2 linked regions of the Mytilus edulis genome follow. The protein of the gene in region 2 purifies or fractionates together with the protein of the main gene of each other region. This does not show direct contact. Links are inferred from orthologs where the notes say so. Each region holds a gene or a part of one and is shown on either strand. Other genes may lie near its edges.

Region 1 (9,277 bases), on a different chromosome or scaffold from region 2:
CTGTCGTCAAGAACAGGGCGACTTGTTTTCGCTTTTGGAGGTCGGGGAAAGCGAAGTGACGATCGGGAAGGCGACTTCTTCGCCCAAGTCGCCTGGTAGCGTGAGCCCTGGGAGATTGGGACTCAGATCAGGAGGTTTTTTATCGACATTAATTTTGTCGTTAATCATATAATGTAACCGTACAATGTAGAAATTGTCTTTAAAGTGTTCTTTCATTTACATCATAATGTAATGTTTTTATACACCCTAGTACCCTTGTTGCCTTTCTATTGAATCTATCTGAATGATTATCAAATAAAAATATTGAGAAGAATCTGTTTCTTGTTTAGTGTTGTGTTTGAAAATTAATTGTTCACTGCTTGCAAATAAATGATTATATACAAATAAGAAAGAAATATGCTATACATGTATATTTTAAACATCATAAATTAATTTAAAAATAACTAACAATAACAATAGTAAATTGTATGCTTTTTTTAGCATTATAAAAGTAATTTTTCTAGAAATTTGAGACTCTGTGCTAAATATTTTGCTTTATTTAGTTGAAAGACCGATAATCTATTTTACTGACCAAAATTATTGAGACATTTCTACACCTTTTGTTTAAGGGATACAGAGTTTTATTCAGTCTGTTTTTTTTTTTATCTTTATTCTTACAATTCTGCATATTAATAGAATATTTTAAGGTCAGAATTCTTATATAAATTTCAATTTAATCTTTGAAAAGAAGTCTAGATTCCCACAATATTTTGTAAATTTATATTATTTTGTTTGTCCAAAACATTTGAGTTCATTTAATTACCATCCTTTTATGGTTATTTGATTAAAATATAATTCATTTATTTTACAATTTACATTTTTGAACGATAAATAACTTATAATAGGATAAATCAAAGGGAAGTAACCAAAATTTATTTCAAAAATTTAATGCACAAAGTTTTTATCACACAACGGCAATTAGCGATCATTAGCCAGACGTAAGCATCGTTGATTACCAGTATGTTTGACACCCAAGCTGTCAAGAGAAGCCATATAATTACACATCTTCTTTGATTTACAGGTAAAAATTTGACACAGGTGTAAATTACACCTGTACCGTAGTAAGAGATTATCAAAAATGGAAGCTGAAAATTTTCTTTCATGAAATATTTCATACACGGGATTTTTTTTTCCTTAACGGGAGGACGGGAGGAGACCCCTGAAAACGGGAGTCGGGAGGTTCACATGTATGCTATCAATTCCAAGTTTACTTTCCACAGCAGACAGTCAGTGAGAGTGAGAGAAGGTATTTCACTTCGTATCTTATCATCGTTAATTCTAGGAGGAACACAATTTCTAACGCTTTAAAAATTATTTTTTGGGGTCAGTGGGAACGACTCCTTTCTGTACACACTCCTCTGTTGAAATTAAGATCATTCGTCATATGATACGACGTTTATCGACATCTAACAACTTAATTTTTCTTGACGAGTCGTAGTGTATTTTGTTGACGGAAAATACTTCTTGAAGGCCAGAGTGGAGACAACTCGAAACGATAATATGGAAGATTCCATTTCGGCTGAAGGGGTGTTATAGGTAAACATATAATTTAAATGTAAATATTTTTATTTAAATGATGCATATAATTTAAAATCATGCAACAACAATAACCCTCGATAGCAGACAGACATAGAAAGAATCCCATGAGTTTCAAATTAATCAATGAAGTGGGGAATCCAGAGCAACCACTCAATCTCATACCCCTTGAAATCAAGAAAACTATACGCATGCGCATTAATACATAAACAAACCCCCCGACTTGCGACTTGGAACAAGAACATTTATTAAATGATATGATGAATGGTTCTCCATTTCTTTATGAGAGTACAGTATCAAATATCAGCTTCATAACGGTTAAATATAGAAAAACTCCACTTCAGTTCTTATATGACAGAAATAGAATTATCGGAATTCAGAGAACTCTCGCATTTATCTAAACTGGGGAAATCCCTCTGACGTGTTTCTAAATTTATAAAAACACTAAATATTAATACTGCTCAATTTTGATTTTCCGTGTTGTTAAAAACACGCATATAAGTCAAGGGAAATATTAAACATGAAGATTATGAGAAGAACATTACAGGAAAGTTGTTTATGTTCATTTTTTTGCTTCTTTTTACCATTTAAAGCAAGACAATCATAAGAATCTGAGATGTTGCTGAATGTTTAGAATAAAACGGTTGACGTGAGGGAATGAGCCCTGAGTCAACTGTAAAAGTCTACAGATTGCTTGAAAGCAATCGTATCCCAAAAATAGAAAAGGTAAAAACATTAATTTGTTTTGTATAATAAAAAAGAACAAAGAAGGTTAAACTATTTAACTTAGATGTATAAATTTATGCTGAAATATGTAAACTTTAAAGAACTGAAAAATACATCATAAATTTGGCAAAATTTCTAATGTTTACCTTCTGAAACACTATTAATGTTGTCCAATGCATTGGTACCACTTTTGAATGGTGAGAAAGCCACTAGTTTGACAACAGACTGGAACTTGCTGAGATCTGTTACACATTTCTCTACCTGACTCTGTAATACTGATACCTCTTCAAATTCTTTCACTCTGAACAGAGCATACCCTGACGCATGTTCATACAAAATAAACAATACTTGAGCCTGAAAAGATAAAACTTTTTACAATAATTTATTATTTATACTACATTAATACATGTAATAGTCAGGATTTTAAATGATTTTCATATGTCCATCTTATATATATATCTAAAAATTTTGTAAGATGTTCTGTGATTGCTGTTGTCCAAGTTTCATAAGTTTCCATGAAAGTTTACTAATTAACTTGCCAAATACATTTAATCTCAGACTGTCTATGAATATTTACTGTAAAAAACTAAGTCCATCTACCTAAAAACTATATTCTTAAAAGTTTGCTTTGGATACTATCTCTAAATCATTAAAAATCTTCTGCCAGTTTTATTGAACATTACACAAAGTAATTGATGTGCAACAAACACTCTAGACTGTACATTGTATCTACTTGATAAAGTCGTATGAGCCGCAAAATTAAACTAAATTGATGCACATGTTTTTTTATAACTAAATGGATAGTTTTCATTATATAAATTTTGCTCTGATTTAAACTGTATTTTTGTTATACACTAGCTTCTGTCCAGATTTCAAGATGACATGAAAGTAAGACAATGTAATTCAACTTCGACTTCATTACTCGTCAAAATCCATACAGGACATATAATAATGAGGATGTCTTACAAAAACTTGAACCACAGACTGAACCTAAATGTTGATTCCACTGATGACAGAATTAAGATTGGCTATATTTGGTGATATCAGGTTTGTTTGAGCCCAGTACTTTCACACCCTACACGTTTGCGTCCAAGGTACATCTGCCCCTACATGTTCACACCCAATTTTTAATATTTTCCAGTTGAATAGTTAAAATTTATATGTATATTTACACCATAAAACAAAAGTTTCCTGAATAAAATTGGTGAATTACTATATATGAAATGTCGTTTTTATTAATTTGAAGATTACCTATTAAATTTTACTTATGTATAATAATTGCTAATTGGTATTTATACACAGCTATTGTATGTTTAATAATCATGATGAATTGTTGTTTGAACTTGCTTTGATGTAAAAAACAAAAACAAAAACATCAAAAACTAGATGTTGACATAATGTCACTCTATTTAGAACCAATGATTTTTTTTTTTTTTTTTATTAATTTTACAGCAAAGCATACACTAACCAAAACACTATTTAAGATTTATTCAGCATTAAAAAAAAACCGCAAGAATCTCACTTTATTTTGAAACATAAAAAAAGCTACCAGTAACCAAAACTTGATTAAGATTTATTCAACACAAAAAAAAACCAGTGAGATTAGAGAACCACTTTTTATCTGAAACAATGAAGAAAAATATTTACATATTATATACACAAGTTAACCAAACTTGATTGATTACAAAATTATTAATCACAAACCAATAAAAAGGGTGCAAAGACTTAGGGCATGAACATGTGGGGTGCGAAAGTAAAAGAGTGTGAATGTCAATGTGAATGGGTGTGAATATGTATGTACATGCTGCAAGTAAGTGGTTCATGTATGGTGAGATACAAAGAAAAATAAATAAATAATGCAGGCTTTTTCAAAAATGATAGGTCTCCCACATTTAATATCAAAATTTTTTGTTTTCAATCAGGTTTGAACCAATCAAATATAAGGCAGCAACCATTTGATTTTCGGGGGGGGGGGGGGGGGGGGGCTATGGTTTTTTTTTCTGGACAAATTTTTTTTCGACAAGTCGAAAACAATTTTGTTCTTTCAATTTTATCATTACATATAGTGGCAGCTGAGGGTGAAACAAACATTTTTTTTTTCTCAGAATCAAAAACAAATTATTTTTTTCTCCAAAAACTGGAAACAAACTTTTTTTTCCACAAAAAACCATAGCCCCCCATGAAAAATCAAATGGTTGCTGCCTAAGGGAACGACCAGAACCAAATCAAATTGGTGACAGCCAACCCCCCTCCAACCCCTCAATTAAATATATATTTTTTTTCGCTATGTCAATGTACAGAAACACTCCAACAGTATACATCTATAACGCGTCAGTGAAAAACAACCATATCGTACATGTATACCAGCTGATGGTATGCTTTTAAACTGCGCTCAAAATAAATCAGACCACATGTCCAGTCGGCATGTGCTGATAATTTCAATAAATCTATGGAAAATAGCACAGTCTAAGCATTGACATTTTGGAATCGAAGATTGCCTATGCAAAGTTTTGTACTTAAACATGTTATGTATAAAATAAGATAATTAGATTTGTGCATGTACTCAAAAAGTTAAAAGCCACGTGCTCACCATCTTTACAAACAATTTTCGCCATTCACTAAGAATAGTCCTTATCTTAAATGATTTTTCATTGGTTCTTTTCACACAGATCTCAGGAAATGGCCAATAAGGAGAGGTCTTACAAACCCTGTGATAGGCGGAAGTTTACAATGGCGTCTGCATTTAAAAAGTCAGTTACAAAATGCAACTTTTCCGTGTTTTAAGGTTAAACAACAGTCGTAAGGTTGGTTATGGGGTAAAACATAAAACAAGAATGACCAGATTAATGAATAGCAATACCACAAAATTCTAATAATAAGGAGATATGCATGAACTATTCATCAGACTAAAGAGAAGAGTGCTGATTTTCTAAATTTTAATTTTTACTTAGAACATCATCATGTAGATGTAATCAGCTAACAGTATATTTCAATATATATATACCTGATGTAATAAAAAATAAGAAACGAATTGAAGTACCGCACAACCTTAATCACAGGAATTAAAGTTATACCTTAAAACTATAAAAAGTTCTGCTATCCCAATGGAGTGCTCAAATTCGCATACAAATTCGGCCCAAACACCTTATCGCTATTTGTCTGTCATTACTGGAGATCACACAGGTTTCTGTAAAATTTTGATGTCCTAAAACAAAATATCTGACGCCGCAATCATGGCAATGGAAAAGTGATTGTTGTATGCGTCAAAAGTTCAAGTGGCCGGGTCAGCGGGTTTTAGCGATAAGGTGTTTTAATTTGACACCCCTTGGTATGGTCATCACTATCTCTAGCTGCAGAACCGTAGCTCATAGGTCCTAAAAAAGTAAAAAAATAGCATAAGTACTAGTCCAAATAATTATGACCTCTTGAAAGGCTATTATAAGACGTCATAATTATTTGGACTACATAAGTACCTATGAGCTAGCATCAGGTCTGTTTAACAGCTTGTGACAAGTTTGATAGCTGTTAGGAAACTTCTGTCTTTCTGTTACAAGTCTTAGAGTTGAATGACTTAATTATATAAAATCAGCTCATCATGACATTATTCATGATTCACAGGGTGTGAACATGTCAGGTGAGAATGTGAAAGAGAACATGCATTTGGGTGAACAGACTCAGGTTCGATAACAGATTGGGAACAAAACCCCCTATATCAAACTTAAGAACATAAGTAATCTGATCTTAATAATATTGCACTTGTTTTGCAAGGAAGATGTCATGCTGATACTCGCAAATGCAAACTTGAATGGGCTTTGCTCATTGTTGAAGGCTGTATGGTGACCTATAGTTGTTAATTTCTGTGTCATTTTGGTCTCTTGTGGAGAGTTGTCTCATTGGCAATCATAGCACATCTTCTTTTTTTATATTGAATACTTACATGTACCTTGAAGTGAATTTATTCACCTGTCACAATAATGAAAGAGGGACGAAATATACCAGAGGGACAGTCAAACTCATAAATTGAAAATAAACTGACAACACTTGGCTAAAATTGAAAGAAGACTAACAGACAAACAATAAAACACATGACATAACATAGAAAACTAAAGAATAAGCGACATGAACGCCACCAAAAACTAGAGGTGATCTAAGGTGCTCTGGAAGGGTAAGCAGATGTGTCCACATGTGGCACCTGTCGTGTTGCTTATGTTTTAAAAAATCCGGTAATTTAGCCTAATTCGGTAGGTCATATTCATGAAAGGGATGAGGATTGTAGTTAGGACTTACATGACTTAAAGAACATATCCGATATCATTTGTGAAACCGTTATTCCATAACGGTCAACCAACGTGTGATGGCTTTCATAAAATTTACGAAGGGATGATTTCAACTTCACCATTTGGAACTCGTGGTTTAAAAGCTTCCTTGTAGCAGCAACCCTCTATCAAGGAAATCATGATGGGAAATGCAATGCAATAAACCATCGTAAACTAACCATCATACCTTAGTAAAATATTGATCTATATGTATATTTCAATCATTCTACCAAACAAAAATTACACAAGATAGAGAAGACTATTAGGGGAGGAATATATTTATGTCTAGAAACAGACATGAACAAATTGTAGCTACATATACCATGAATTATGCAATTATATCTACCATTAAAAAAAAATATGCTATAAATCATAATATGAATGATTAAGATTGTTGTTCATAATTTACATTAGTATGGTTTATAAATAAAATATAATTGATGCATTTATAAGTTAATATTTGTTTCAGTTCAATGGAAACTTGTGAAACCTCATCAGAGATAAAGGAACAATGTGAAGGAAAATTGTGCTGTGTTTTGTGTGCTAAAAATGAAGAACATATAGTGAATGAAGAAAAGATATCACTTCATTGTCTCCCAGGGACTGATGATGACAGAAGTGAAGTATGGTTAGGGAAAATAAAACAAGCAAAACCAGATGTTCTCATAACCGACCATACAAGACTATGCAACTTACATTTTGAAGACAATATTTGTGATAATGATTCAGTACCCACTATACTTTGTGTAGATTCAATTGAACAAAAAGACAATGCAAAGGATGAAAAGGTTGATGAAAATTTAAATACTACAGAGGTAAAGTATGGACATTTAATATAAGCTTATCTTAGCTGTTTAAATATAACTTCTTTTTTCTTTAACTTACATGTACCTTGGATAGGAACAATTGCAATAGAATAACAAAATATTTCATCTGTTTTCTGCGCTTTGGTAGGGTTGTTGTCACTTTGATATATTCTTCATTTCCATTCTCAATTTTATTCATTTTAAGTAAATAGTTTACATGAGTCATGAGATCTCTTGGCAATATTTTTGTTGAACTAGAATTTTTTTTGCACTGTTATGAACATGTTAAACTTTAATTATCAATTAACAAATGATTAATAATTCATTAGATGTGTCATAATAAACAATTTGGAAATTAGTATGGCGTTCATTATCACTGAACTAGTATATATTTGTTTAGGGGCCAGTTGAAGGACGCCTCCGGGTGCGGGAATTTCTCACTACATTGAAGACCTGTTGGTGACCTTCTGCTGTTGTTTTTTTTCTATGGTCAGGTTGTTGTCTCTTTGGCACATTCCCCATTTCCATTCTCAATTTTATTGAATACGATGTGTTTTTTAAGAAGATAAACAGTATAAATCTTAGTATATAGACTGGATATTATAAAAGTTGTTAATGTGAATTTTTCAGAGCAATCTCAACAATGAAGACACAGAACAACCATCTTGTAGTACAGTCCTTAACAACAGCCAGTCGGAGGAAAAACCAGAAACAAAATTATCTTTGAAAGAACAGGTGGTTAAATCATAATTTTTGTTGTTGATATAGTCAGATTTACCATATAAAATTTGGTTTCAGTAATATGTTGTAATATTGTTAAAGAACTATTTTTATGCCTTGGCCATAGTAGAGGGGGCATTAAGTTGAACCCTTGTCCGTATTTCATCGTCCTGAAATTGATTTACGTTCTCTAACTTTAGTTTGCCTCAACCAAATGTTATGATACTTATACACAATGCTTATTACGACAAAACACATATCAAATTTGAATTTTGTTTGTGTCAGTTTAAATTTCTAGTGTTATGCTCTTTTACAAATTAAAAACTGCTGAATATTTCGTTTCGGCTCTCTCACTTTAGTTTGCCTCAACCAAATGATTATGAATCTTTTACACAATGATTATTACCAAAAAACACAGATCAAGTTTGAATTTTGCTGGCGTCACTTTTACCCTTCTAGAGTTATGTCCCAAAAAATTAAAAACTGCTGAATTTTTTCATTTCGGTTCTCTTACTTAATTTTGCCTCAACCAAATGTTATTAAACTTGTACACAATCCTTATTACCACAAATATCAGATCAAGTAAGAATTTTGTTGGGTCACTTTTATCGTTCTGGAGTTATTTCTTTATGATTAGGTCAGTTTGAGATAAAACATTTAATTGAAGTCAATGATATCTTGTATGAAATTGTTTAAGCATTTACAACTTCTCATTTTCATAGAGATTATTTTGTATCTAAAGTGAGACATAACATGATTGTTACAATAAATTAATACTATGGATGCTCAATTAGATATTTGAAATTTTTATCATAACTTTTATTTTTAGCTAGCTCAAATTCCAGTATGTCCAAGTTTAAGTAAGGAACCAGTGAGTGTGAGATTGTGTGCTATAAATACTTACATCACATGTGCCTTGTGTGGTGGATACCTGTATGAAGCTTCAACCATTACAGAATGCATGCATACGTGTAAGCTCATTTATGTTTATTACTTATCTATTTAAATGATGTGTATTTTTTAATTGATGATTACATTCAAATCATTTTTAAACTTTCTATAACATGCATCTGATCATCAGTGAACATTTTCTTTAGGTCACCATTTTCTAAAAGATCAACAGTTTGATAAATT
Region 2 (10,835 bases):
TAATAATCTATATCTAAAAGGTGATATATTTATTTTTAATTTGCAAAAGGAGAAGGAATATTAATAACAAATTTTCTTCCGTTTCTTGAAAACATTTTTTATACGAGGAATTATTTCATTCAAGGAAAACTGCAAAATCTGCCAAATATCAAACATCTGAAGAGATTTTTATTTATGTCTTTACTTTTCTATTCTTAATAAACTTACTTGTATAAGCTCTGGCATAAATAACATTATCTAATACAGCGCTCTGGTCCAGATTAAATCTGTCTGCAATGGTTCTCAGTCTGTCAGGACGACTTATCGTATGTTAAAGAAAATCTACATATGTTAATTAGATTCAAAAACTATTCCTAAAAATATCCACAAGGAATATTTGGACAATATTGAATATACAGAATTTTGCAATCACTATAGTGATTGAGTGATTGCTGATTGCTTCATGAGACGTCCAGTGGCAAATATATCATACATGTTCAGGACGATCACTATTATGAAAAAAGTCATGGTGCATAAAAAGATATTCAGCCAATGTTAACTTTAAACTATATTCTGTTTCTAAGCTTTGCAGGATTAGGTTTGTACAAGTTTTATTAAAGTGAGAGTTGTTAATTGAATTGCTTGGAGTCCTCTTTAAACAGTTGCAGCACACATGGGGGAATTCCTACAAATATGTTGAGCAAAATTTTTTGTTGTGCATTTTAGTGAATTGTAGATTTTACTTATATTCTGCAGATATTGTTTAAAAAAAAAGAAGACTTCATATGGCTTTTTTCCTTATTTCTAAGTTCTGATTCTTTTTTGTTCTTTCCAACATAAGCCACTTTATCAACCCCTATATTAGTCAAAACTGTTTTTTTCACTGGTTGTCAAGCAACTTAATCTAATTCAATTCTTGCACTATGTAATTATTTTTTAATTTTTAGGACACATTTCAGCAGTAATCAATAAATTGTTTGGATACAAGGTATTCTCAGTATCAATAAGAACCACTTTGCCACCTGTATATCCATTGGCTCCAGGAAGCTGTGCTGTTACTGAAATAATAAGTACATATTTTTGTACTGATGTGAAATCACTTTTTAAAAAAATTGTCACAGACAGATGTTCTTATTTTACTTTTAAAAACATAAATTTTTAAAATTTCTAAATTTCCCCAAAGAAGAACTTCCCATCAGTTTTTTATAATACCATTCAAGGAAAAATATTTCTTAAAACGCCTCCACTTTGTTCTTTTGTCAATAGTAATTTTCATGGATATCTCATTTTCATTCTGTTCTACATTTGTAATTTTTAATATACTGCAGCTATAAAATAAAACATACAGGTTCGTGGAAATTTTACGTCTTCCACTCAGAATTAAGAAATGATGGTTTTTTCCCTAAATTCTTCATTTAGAACAGTTATAAGAGTTGCAGCATATAAAGAATGACCATACATTGTCTCGAAATATTAATGTTATTTGTAAAAGGCTTAGAAACAGGTAGAAAGCGAGGCTGTGCCTTTAGTTCATGTGTTGCTCTCAGACAAGTGATTTTGAATGTGTTTTGGCAGTCTTTATATTTTACTCTGTATAAAACATATCAAACATGAAAAGCAAATTATATTCTCAGCATATAAATTATTAAACGCTTACCACACATTGTATGAGACAGCTGTGTTTTCCCTGTTCTGAATTCACCAAAGGCTTCAGTTATTGCCATGCTTTCTAATCCTCCTCCACAAAGTTTACTGAAAGGAAATTTCTTCTAATAAATCTTAAATAGCAATTTGAAATTAATCATGCGTATAAGGAATACAATGGTGTATATTTCAACTAAATAATATTTTCTACTGCAGCAGGTTTATCTAATACAGAAACATAATGCTAAGCTACCAAGGAAGTGGCAAGTGTTTGGAATATGTATCTATTAAAATTCATTGTGTTAAATCATAAGTTTTAGTTTCTTTACTATATATGTATGGCTGTGCAAGAGATTTGGTAATGTCATTTGACACATGAAGTTCCCAGATACTCAATTTGTGTTTAGCCTTGTCTATCCAATTTTGTGATTCTCAAATTTACTTGATGTAGTTAAGTCAGGAAAAATCCAAGTTTTATTTATTCACGACATTTTTCTACTCGCAAAAATAAATCACTTGCGATATTTAGATAGTTACAGTATAATCAATGTTGCAAAGTAAGAAAGATTTAATTTTCTATTGTAATTGTCGATAACATCTTTTTTTATTACATCCATTGCAATCTTTTTTTTTAATAGAACATTGATATTTTGTTTGCTCTTGTACAAGGCCAAATAAAATAATATGTGCGTTTCCTATATTATCTTTGAAAAAAAAAGGGTAGGTAGGTAGATAGGGATTTTTTTATTTTACATTTTTTTACATTGAGTCTATGGGAGAAAAATTCTTACATTATAAACAATGATTATTGGAAAATGACCAAAAAAACTTTAAGGTAGGCTATTTCTAAGCTTAAAATATAGGGTACTACCCCGTAGGTAGGGAAAAAGGTAAACTCTTATTTTTTTATTTGGCCTAAACATCTATGCAGAGGTTTGTTATGAAATAATTAATTCCTAAATCACATATATTGTCAGAAGTGAAAATTTGTAAAACTTTTATAAATAATTGTGACCCTAGAGAGTCTTCATGATGAACTGTTAAATCTACATGCCCAGAGCTCAATTTTCCAATTTTTTTAGTTAGATTCTGTTGGCGGCCTGTAGATATGATTTTTACAGGCCCGAGAGCAATTTTACTAGCCTGGGCTGCCACTCAGGGTGAAGACTGCAGGCTAGATATTCTTTTGATTTGTAGGGACCCACCTGATATTTTCTCAAAATTAAAGATCCATGCAACATGTGCAAACAATTCTTTAATCAACTTCTAATCTCAGTTTTGTATAATGTATAGAAATATAAAAGATTTTACTTTGCTGTACACATAATGGTATAAAAATAAACAATGTTAGTATAACTAAAAAACTAATTACTCTAATTCTATGCTTCCAGTCGTTATTCTGAAGACAGCTTTTCTTTTATCTGAATACTCTAAAGCTGTCAAAAAACCTGGATCCTGGAAATACAAGAATGAAATGAGGCATCTGCTACTGAAATTAAAAAAAAAATAATAAAATTCTCCTCATTCATCATTAAACTGTTTGACTTTGAAATACTAATTTTTGACTTTTTCAACTGGACCAACTCACTCCTTTGAAAATTAATGCCAGACTTTAATCTTTTTCTGGTGTAACTATGTTCCCTACTTATATATATTTTATTCTTAAAACAGGGAGAACTAGTTTGGGAAAATATATTAGGATGATGACAGTAGGTTAATACATACACAGAGCTTATTTGCAGCTTCTTTGATTTTTTCCATTTTTGCTTCAGAAATTCCTTTTACAGCACAAAGTCTTTTCTTTGTGGTCATTTGGATTCCCTGTAATAATACAATTTTGCATATTTAATGGTTAAAATTTCAAAAAAGTATGAAGAGATAAAAGGTACAATATAATGCACTTGCTATTGTTTGAGATTTGATAATAAATAACGAAGTAGTACTTAAAGTTTATACAATACTTGCCTTTATGGTACATATTCCCACTTGCTTCAGTTTCTTTATGTCAGCTACATTCTATAAATTAAAAAAATAATTAAATGATGCAAATATAAATGACACAAAGTTTGGATGGGATTTCCTTGCTGCTTTGAAGACCCATTGTTGGTTGTGGGCTGTGGTTTGCAATTTGGGCGAGTTGATGTCTCTTTGACGCATACCCCAATTTCCTTTCTAACAATTCACATTGAAAAAAGGTTTGGAATATATTGGTTCCATTCCTTCATCTGTTTTACTAAAGCAGAGAATAATAAAAAAAAAAACTCCATATAAAATCTAACATATTTTCTAAGGCACCTATACTGTTTACATCCATTTCAAACATTGAACTGTGCTCAGCAGTAAAATCTTTCTACCTCAATCGTCTTTTGTGATTACAAAATACTTGTACACATGTCAGAGAAAAAGACTGAGATGTAGTTTGAACCTAGATAAGAAAAATTACCTCTTCTTGAAATTCAGAGTAGCAAAACTAGTTTGGAGACCATCTAAATATGTTTTGACTATAGGATGAATGTAAAATCATATAAAATTTCTGATATTGTAATAGAGTACACATTATTGTTCTTGTACAAACGCAACTTTAAACTTTTCTATACATTTTCCAACTGGGAACATCCTGAATTAACAGTATTTGGATTATAGCTGTTGTTAACAATTAAGATGCCCATCCCCCTTTTAAGCACTATAACCTTGATAAATGGTGCTAGCTATAATATATATCAACTATTCTATATTAAATGACTTATATCAGTTAAGACTTACAATTCCATGATTCTGCAGAAGATCTATGTCCTGGAAAAGTGATTCCTGAAATAGTAAATGATTAACGACATAAACACTCCCCTCAACTGGGACGTACTAGCTATCATTCTAAAAGAAATAGGAAGCTGAAGAACATAATATTAATTGAAACTGTCTTCTGGCATGTTATAACCTGTACTGTTGATTTGAATTTTCTCTACATTTTCAGCTCAACCATTAGAGTGCACTCCTTATATATATAAGAACAAATATGTATAAATGTAACATCACTGTAGGTCTATAGGTGAAAAATACTGATCACATCTATCAGCTGAGTGAGCGTTGCCTTGTCATCATTTGCATCTCATTTTATGTTAATATGTCCTTGAAAACAGATTAATAGACTTCTACTATACTTGCACAAATTCTCCACAATTAAAGTGGTGCACCTGCTATTTCATTTTTTGACACAAGCAATTGTGACACTAGGAATTTCTTATACCAAAACATTTTAAATGTAAATCATTTGTACAAATGTAGGTACGGTAGCAGCCAACACATTTTTTCCAAGGGAAAACTCATAAATTATATTTTAATATTTGTTTATTGTTATTCCAATAAAAATAAATAAAGAGACTGGACTAGAGTTTGCAGAGAGAGTAAATAATATGGTTAAACTAATTTCAAAGAGTTGTTACTCAATGCAAGGAGCCATACCTCTTCATCATCTTCATTCACAACTAATTCTTCTTCAACAACCTGGTCTTCCTGCTGCATGATTTTCTCTATAAAAAAAAATCTCGATTTTTTCAAAATCTCTTCAATAATTACAGCGTTATAATTATCATTGATTTCTAATCACTATCAGTGTCACCAAACAAATTAACAATGACCAAACTGGACACTTCATTGATGAGTTTATTCCAAAACACCTATCAGTAGATGGACTGGTCAATGATGAACGCACCGTTTTAACTCCGCCCAGTCAAGTGAAATAAATCAAGTAAGACATAATCTAAAAGCAATGTAAGGGAGATAATTCATATAAAACATTGTAATTAGTGTTGTTTAAATTTTTAATGTTTATTTATCAAACAAAACAAATTCTATAGCCTCAAATCACAAAAATTACTTCCCTTTGTCAATCGTAGAATGGTTCTATACTAGACAAAATTGGCTTTTGCCAATGCAAAGCAGTGGCAGATCGAGGGTGTGTGTTGAGGGTTGGAACCCCCCTTTTTTTTGGACGATCAATGCATTTGAATTAGGACATGTGGTTGGAACACACACCCCCCCTCCCTTTTCGTGGAAAAAATTTGGTTGATTATATAGGTAATCACTGAAGCATGACTGGATCGCCACCCCCCTTTTAGGTCAGTTAGCGGGCCCCCCTTAGGTCAAGTTCTGGATCCGCCACTGTCAAATATATTTCATTGCTAATCAAAGCACCCACAAGGAGCAGAACAATCAACATTAATTACATACAAATGATTACACAAGTGATTCAATTATATGATTAAGACACAATGTCAATGTTATAAAAAATATTTATTAAGACAAGTAGAAGAATACAACAACTTGACAAGCACAGTGTTTAATAATATATAAACTAGGTTAAAAAAAGGTTATTCATGAAGTTGATGCTTAGCTCTCAACTATTCAGATTTACAAAAACCTTGAAGTATGGGAAAACTAGAACAGTCATAAACTTTCTTACATAGTTCTTCTGCACGCCAGTTACCAACTTGCTCTTTCTGCTACAAAACTTGTCGTCTGCTAACACGTGCGAGATAATCGACGTCTTTAAAATGTTTGTATATTTATTTTAAGTCCGTAACAATAAACCCTTTAAATACGTCGATTGTTAAATCAACATCCGGTTTTTAACACGAGGCACAAACGAAAACATTACCACGAGGCCCAGTGAAGCTTTCAGCCGAGGGAATATTTTGAACAACAATCATGGTAAAACACCTTTACAATATAGTATTTTTGTCACAACCTTAATATGCTTGAATTGAAATTTTATTTGTAATAGAAAACATCAACCAAAAGGCGCATTTCAACCTTGAAAAGATTGATAAATGATTTGTTAATAAAAAAAAAGGGGGGTCGTATGGTATACTTTCTTTCAGAGGTAGCATTAAAAAAAGAAAGTTATTAACTGGCGTTCCCAAAGTATAATGTCCATAACCATATAATAATAACAATAAAGCTTGATATAACAAAGGTAGCTCATTTAATTATTAATTTAATAATACCAATGACATGTCAATCTTTAATACCTGAGGCCTTTTCGAATGATGACCTCAGCATACACATGGTATGATCTATTAACTTATCAGAAAATTATATACTATCATGCATGTTATTCAATCCATCTTGTATGGGAAAGGATTTGTATAGGCACTGCCTTTTGTCCAATCCCTTTGTTTAAATGTACATTTGATATTTGAACAATAAAATATTGGCACTGGCTACGGTTACATGGAAATGTAACAATAATAATAATATTATTGTTACATTGGAGACTAAATGCCGAAACGCAAAGTCGGGTAAGGAACCGATTAATTACGAATGTAACAATAATTACTGAGGCTACGGTTACATTGCGTTATTGTTACACGAAAAACAGCAATATACGATGGGTCTATTAAAATGTACAAGATAATAAAAAAGACATTTATTTTATATTTACAATACTATAGTGTTATTAACTGGCTGTTTCTGTATTGGCACTGGTATAGATTCAAGGTTTGCTGTATTGGCCTCGAGACCTGTAGGGTCGAGGGCCAATACAGCTGACCGAGAATCTATACCAGTGCCAATACAGAAACAGCCAGTTCATAACACTTTTATTAAATGATTATAAGAGAATTAAAAACCGGAAGTGAACGTCCCGTATTAGCCCATGGGCCAATACAGCTTTTTTCCCGCTTTTTTCTGTATTTGCCCTGTTTTTTCCGTTTGAAAACATTAAGACATTACAAAACATTGCACATCATTTAACCTGTTTATTTTATGACTTTAATTTAAAAATTATTATACAAATGTTTTTATGCATAACGATACTTCAAGAGTAAAGTAATGGCGTAAGAAAATTGAAAACCGGAAGTGAACGTCCTGTATTGCCCTAGGGCTAATACGACTTTTTTCCCGCTTTTTTCTGTATTGGCCCTGTTCGAAGAGCAATATTAACTCTTGATTTATATCGACAGTGGAACGTTTTTAGTATTGCACATGCTGATTTATCCGTATTAGGGCTTATTTGCTCATATCATTTAATAAATACAATTATTAAATATAAATTCTTTAATTATTTATTTGCAATGACATTTTCTACATATCCAGTAAGTGGTTTTTGGAGCATTTCTAAGTCCGACACATTTTTGGTGAAACCACTCCAAGCAGCCATCACACACCAGTGATGCCGCACTGTGAACGTCCGTATCACACACTGTACAGTTCCATTCTGCGATATCCCGTTTTGATGATAAGGCAACCTTTCATGTTTGCCATGCTTCCGATGAGAAATACTTTTTCACTCTAGCAATGTTTATATTCTCATCTAATATTTTGGTTGGAAACATGTGATGTAGTTTTATGTCATCTTTCAGTATGGTCACATTGCCGTCCATTACGGATGTAAGGTTTACCTCGGATTTCAGTATCCAACTTAGCATAGCTGAAAAAAACAATAAATTATAAAAATGCAAGTCAAAAGTCAAAAGTTCATCAAATACTAATAAATAGTGAATTATTTTCCATTATTCAAACTGACATCGCCATGGCTAAAAAGTAAAAAGGCAAAACATACAAATAAAAGTAAAAAAAACACAACATGGAAAACTACAGACTAAGAAACACGAACCCTATCAAAAACTGGGGGTATATCAACTGTCCATTTTTTTAAAAAGTTATTTACCTTCTTCTTTTTCCTTTGGTCGTCTTTTAAGAAACGGCATGACTCTCTTCGTACTTTTGGGCAATCCAACGACGCAATCTCGCATGAATATAATGACCCATTGATATTCGTTTATAGGTTAAACTTAACTTACCTTTGGTTTGGACGAGCTCCATCTGATTTTGAAACGACATTACGTCCTCCGTGGATACATGTATACAGAAGTTCACAGTATTTTACTTCACAGTTAGCAAACTTTGCTATAGATGAATCATTTTTTTTAGAACTGTGTTTGTATAGCTGAATGAAATTTGTGTCTTGATATTGTTTCAGTTTTGTTTCAAACGAATCCCAAGTTTTAAATTGTTCACCCAAAACAAAATTGGTCACAGGAATCTCTTCATCCATTGTGTAAAGTAAAATGACAGTTATACGAGTAGGTGTGCAGTTAAATACTTAAACTAAAGTGAACACTTTTCTCAGCCCGAGTTCTCAACAACAAATCATTGGACTATATTTTCGCCTTTGGCACTACTTATCTAAAGTAGTATCTTTAAAACACCAAATGTGACCATTTATACGTTAAAAAGACCAATTTAAACACCATTTGTTAATCGATAATATTTATTACTTATCATTATTACAAGTATTATTTCGTACAGATGCAAGATTAAGGCAACCGTTAAACCATAGAAGATTTAAGTTTAATAAATCGAGCGTACATTGCTGTTTTTCATGTAACAATAACGCAATGTAACCGTAGCCTCAATAATTATTGTTACATTCGTAATTAATCGGTTCCTTATCCGACTTTGAATTCCGGCATTTAGTCTCCAATGTAACAATAATATTTTTATTATTGTTACATTTCCATGTAACCGTAGCCAGTGCCTAAAATATTTTGAATTGAATACACATGGCATACACTCAAAAATCCTTATTATAGACCTTAAATAAGAAAGCGCAAAATGGATAAAAGATAAATATAAATTCAACATTTTTCTGCCATACATGGCATCTGTTACTTAATGTTAATATATTTGTATTTTTATTTCAGACTGAAGAAGTAAATCCTAAAGCTTATCCATTAGCTGATCCAAACTTAACTCAGAAAATATTGGACTTGGTACAGAAGGCAGCCAGCTGTAAAGAATTGAGGAAAGGAGCCAATGAAGGTATAATCAATCATAAAAGCCAATATCTAAACCTTCCATTGGTCAAATCTTATTGTGTTTGTATACATCTTCCTTCATGAAAACATTCGAAAAAATTCTGAAAACAAATGAAGAACAAAGAAATGCAAAGCATTGTATTTGGTATTTTTCATGTGCTATACATGTACAAACTTGTGCACATGTATCCATTTGAAAGACACTCAAATCTAGCTTAAAAGTGAAAAAAATACATGTATAACTGAGATAACTCTATCTCTGTTTTTCAAATATGGTATAGAAAATTTGAATGAAATAAAAAGATATTGTCTTTTTTTTTAAATGACTAAATGTCATATCTGATACTCGTATAGTACTTTTTTAAATGCCTGAAATTATATTAAAAGCATAGATTGGCAAAAATAGAAAATTCAAATAAGATCATGAATAAACTTGATAACTTGTACAATCAAAATTTCAAAGCCTATTGGCAACTATAACAATACTGTGAGAATACTATCAAACTAAAAAATGGTAAGAATACTTTAAATAGATGACAAAATTTTCCTTGCTGAGTTAGTTTTAATTTACTGTATTTGTTTACAGCCACAAAGACCTTAAACAGAGGAATTTCAGAGTTTATTGTGATGGCTGCAGATGCTGAACCTTTGGAGATTTTGTTACATCTTCCTTTACTGTGTGAAGACAAGGTAAAAAGTACATCTTCTTGTGTACAATTGTGTTGTATGAATAAGGAGATAAGTTATGATTCCCAATTAGACAATAACATTTGTAAATATCAAAATTCAAATGAATTGGATGTACATTATTGTAGGCCACCGTACAACCTGCCACAACACCCCATACTATATAATGTCTGGTTGAAAAGGCCCATACATGAAAGTGCAAAACATTCACTAGAAAAAACTTTTTTAATTTATAACAAAACAATTTAAGAAAGATCAATTTGACAGACATGAACCAAAGACAAGAATTTAACTACAGACACTTAAAGAATGATGCAGTACAAATAGTAACAATTGAAAATGATGATCTCAGCCACTAAACTGAGCAGGGATAAATGTAGGGGGTGTTTCATAAGAAAAAAAGTACATTTAAAATGTTTAAGAATTTCCATTATGGATAGTATTGCTTTCCAATTTTTTGTATAAAGTCAGACTTGGCCACATGTCAGTGATATTGTTTGCCTCAAATTACAGCCGAAATTCTGCCTTTTCCCCTGGAGAAAATTCCCAATTACTAAAAAAAAAAAACTTAAAATTCCTCCCAAAAAGTTTTACATTTTCCCAAAACAGTGATGGCATTGGTAGTAATATTTGTAAATTTCGTATTCATGTTATTATTTTGATATTAAATTACCAGTTTTCTGATCAGAATCATCATGGTGTTTGTAA

The links. The genes of interacting proteins can lie anywhere in the genome.
Region 1: the proteins of NHP2-like protein 1 (region 2) and nucleolar protein 56-like fractionate together in Homo sapiens (co-fractionation; 3 studies listed by BioGRID, with this or other methods). This does not show direct contact. The link is inferred for Mytilus edulis from reciprocal best matches to the Homo sapiens genes SNU13 and NOP56.

Annotation. Positions count from the first base shown.
Region 1 is NC_092347.1:5,497,258-5,506,534, reverse strand, and holds the start of nucleolar protein 56-like, read right to left. Parts: upstream 4,989-9,277; 5' UTR 4,895-4,988; coding exon 4,892-4,894; intron 2,656-4,891; coding exon 2,448-2,655; intron 1-2,447. Other genes in the region: polycomb group RING finger protein 1-like, read left to right, coding at 7,091-7,432, 8,054-8,158, 8,973-9,114. UniProt on the Homo sapiens protein: Involved in the early to middle stages of 60S ribosomal subunit biogenesis. Required for the biogenesis of box C/D snoRNAs such U3, U8 and U14 snoRNAs. Part of the small subunit (SSU) processome, first precursor of the small eukaryotic ribosomal subunit.
Region 2 is NC_092352.1:86,752,121-86,762,955, forward strand, and holds the start of NHP2-like protein 1, read left to right. Parts: upstream 1-6,211; 5' UTR 6,212-6,327; coding exon 6,328-6,330; intron 6,331-9,326; coding exon 9,327-9,444; intron 9,445-10,026; coding exon 10,027-10,130; intron 10,131-10,835. Other genes in the region: meiotic recombination protein DMC1/LIM15 homolog, read right to left, coding at 208-299, 965-1,037, 1,637-1,731, 2,996-3,078, 3,349-3,444, 3,589-3,639, 4,387-4,431, 5,083-5,142.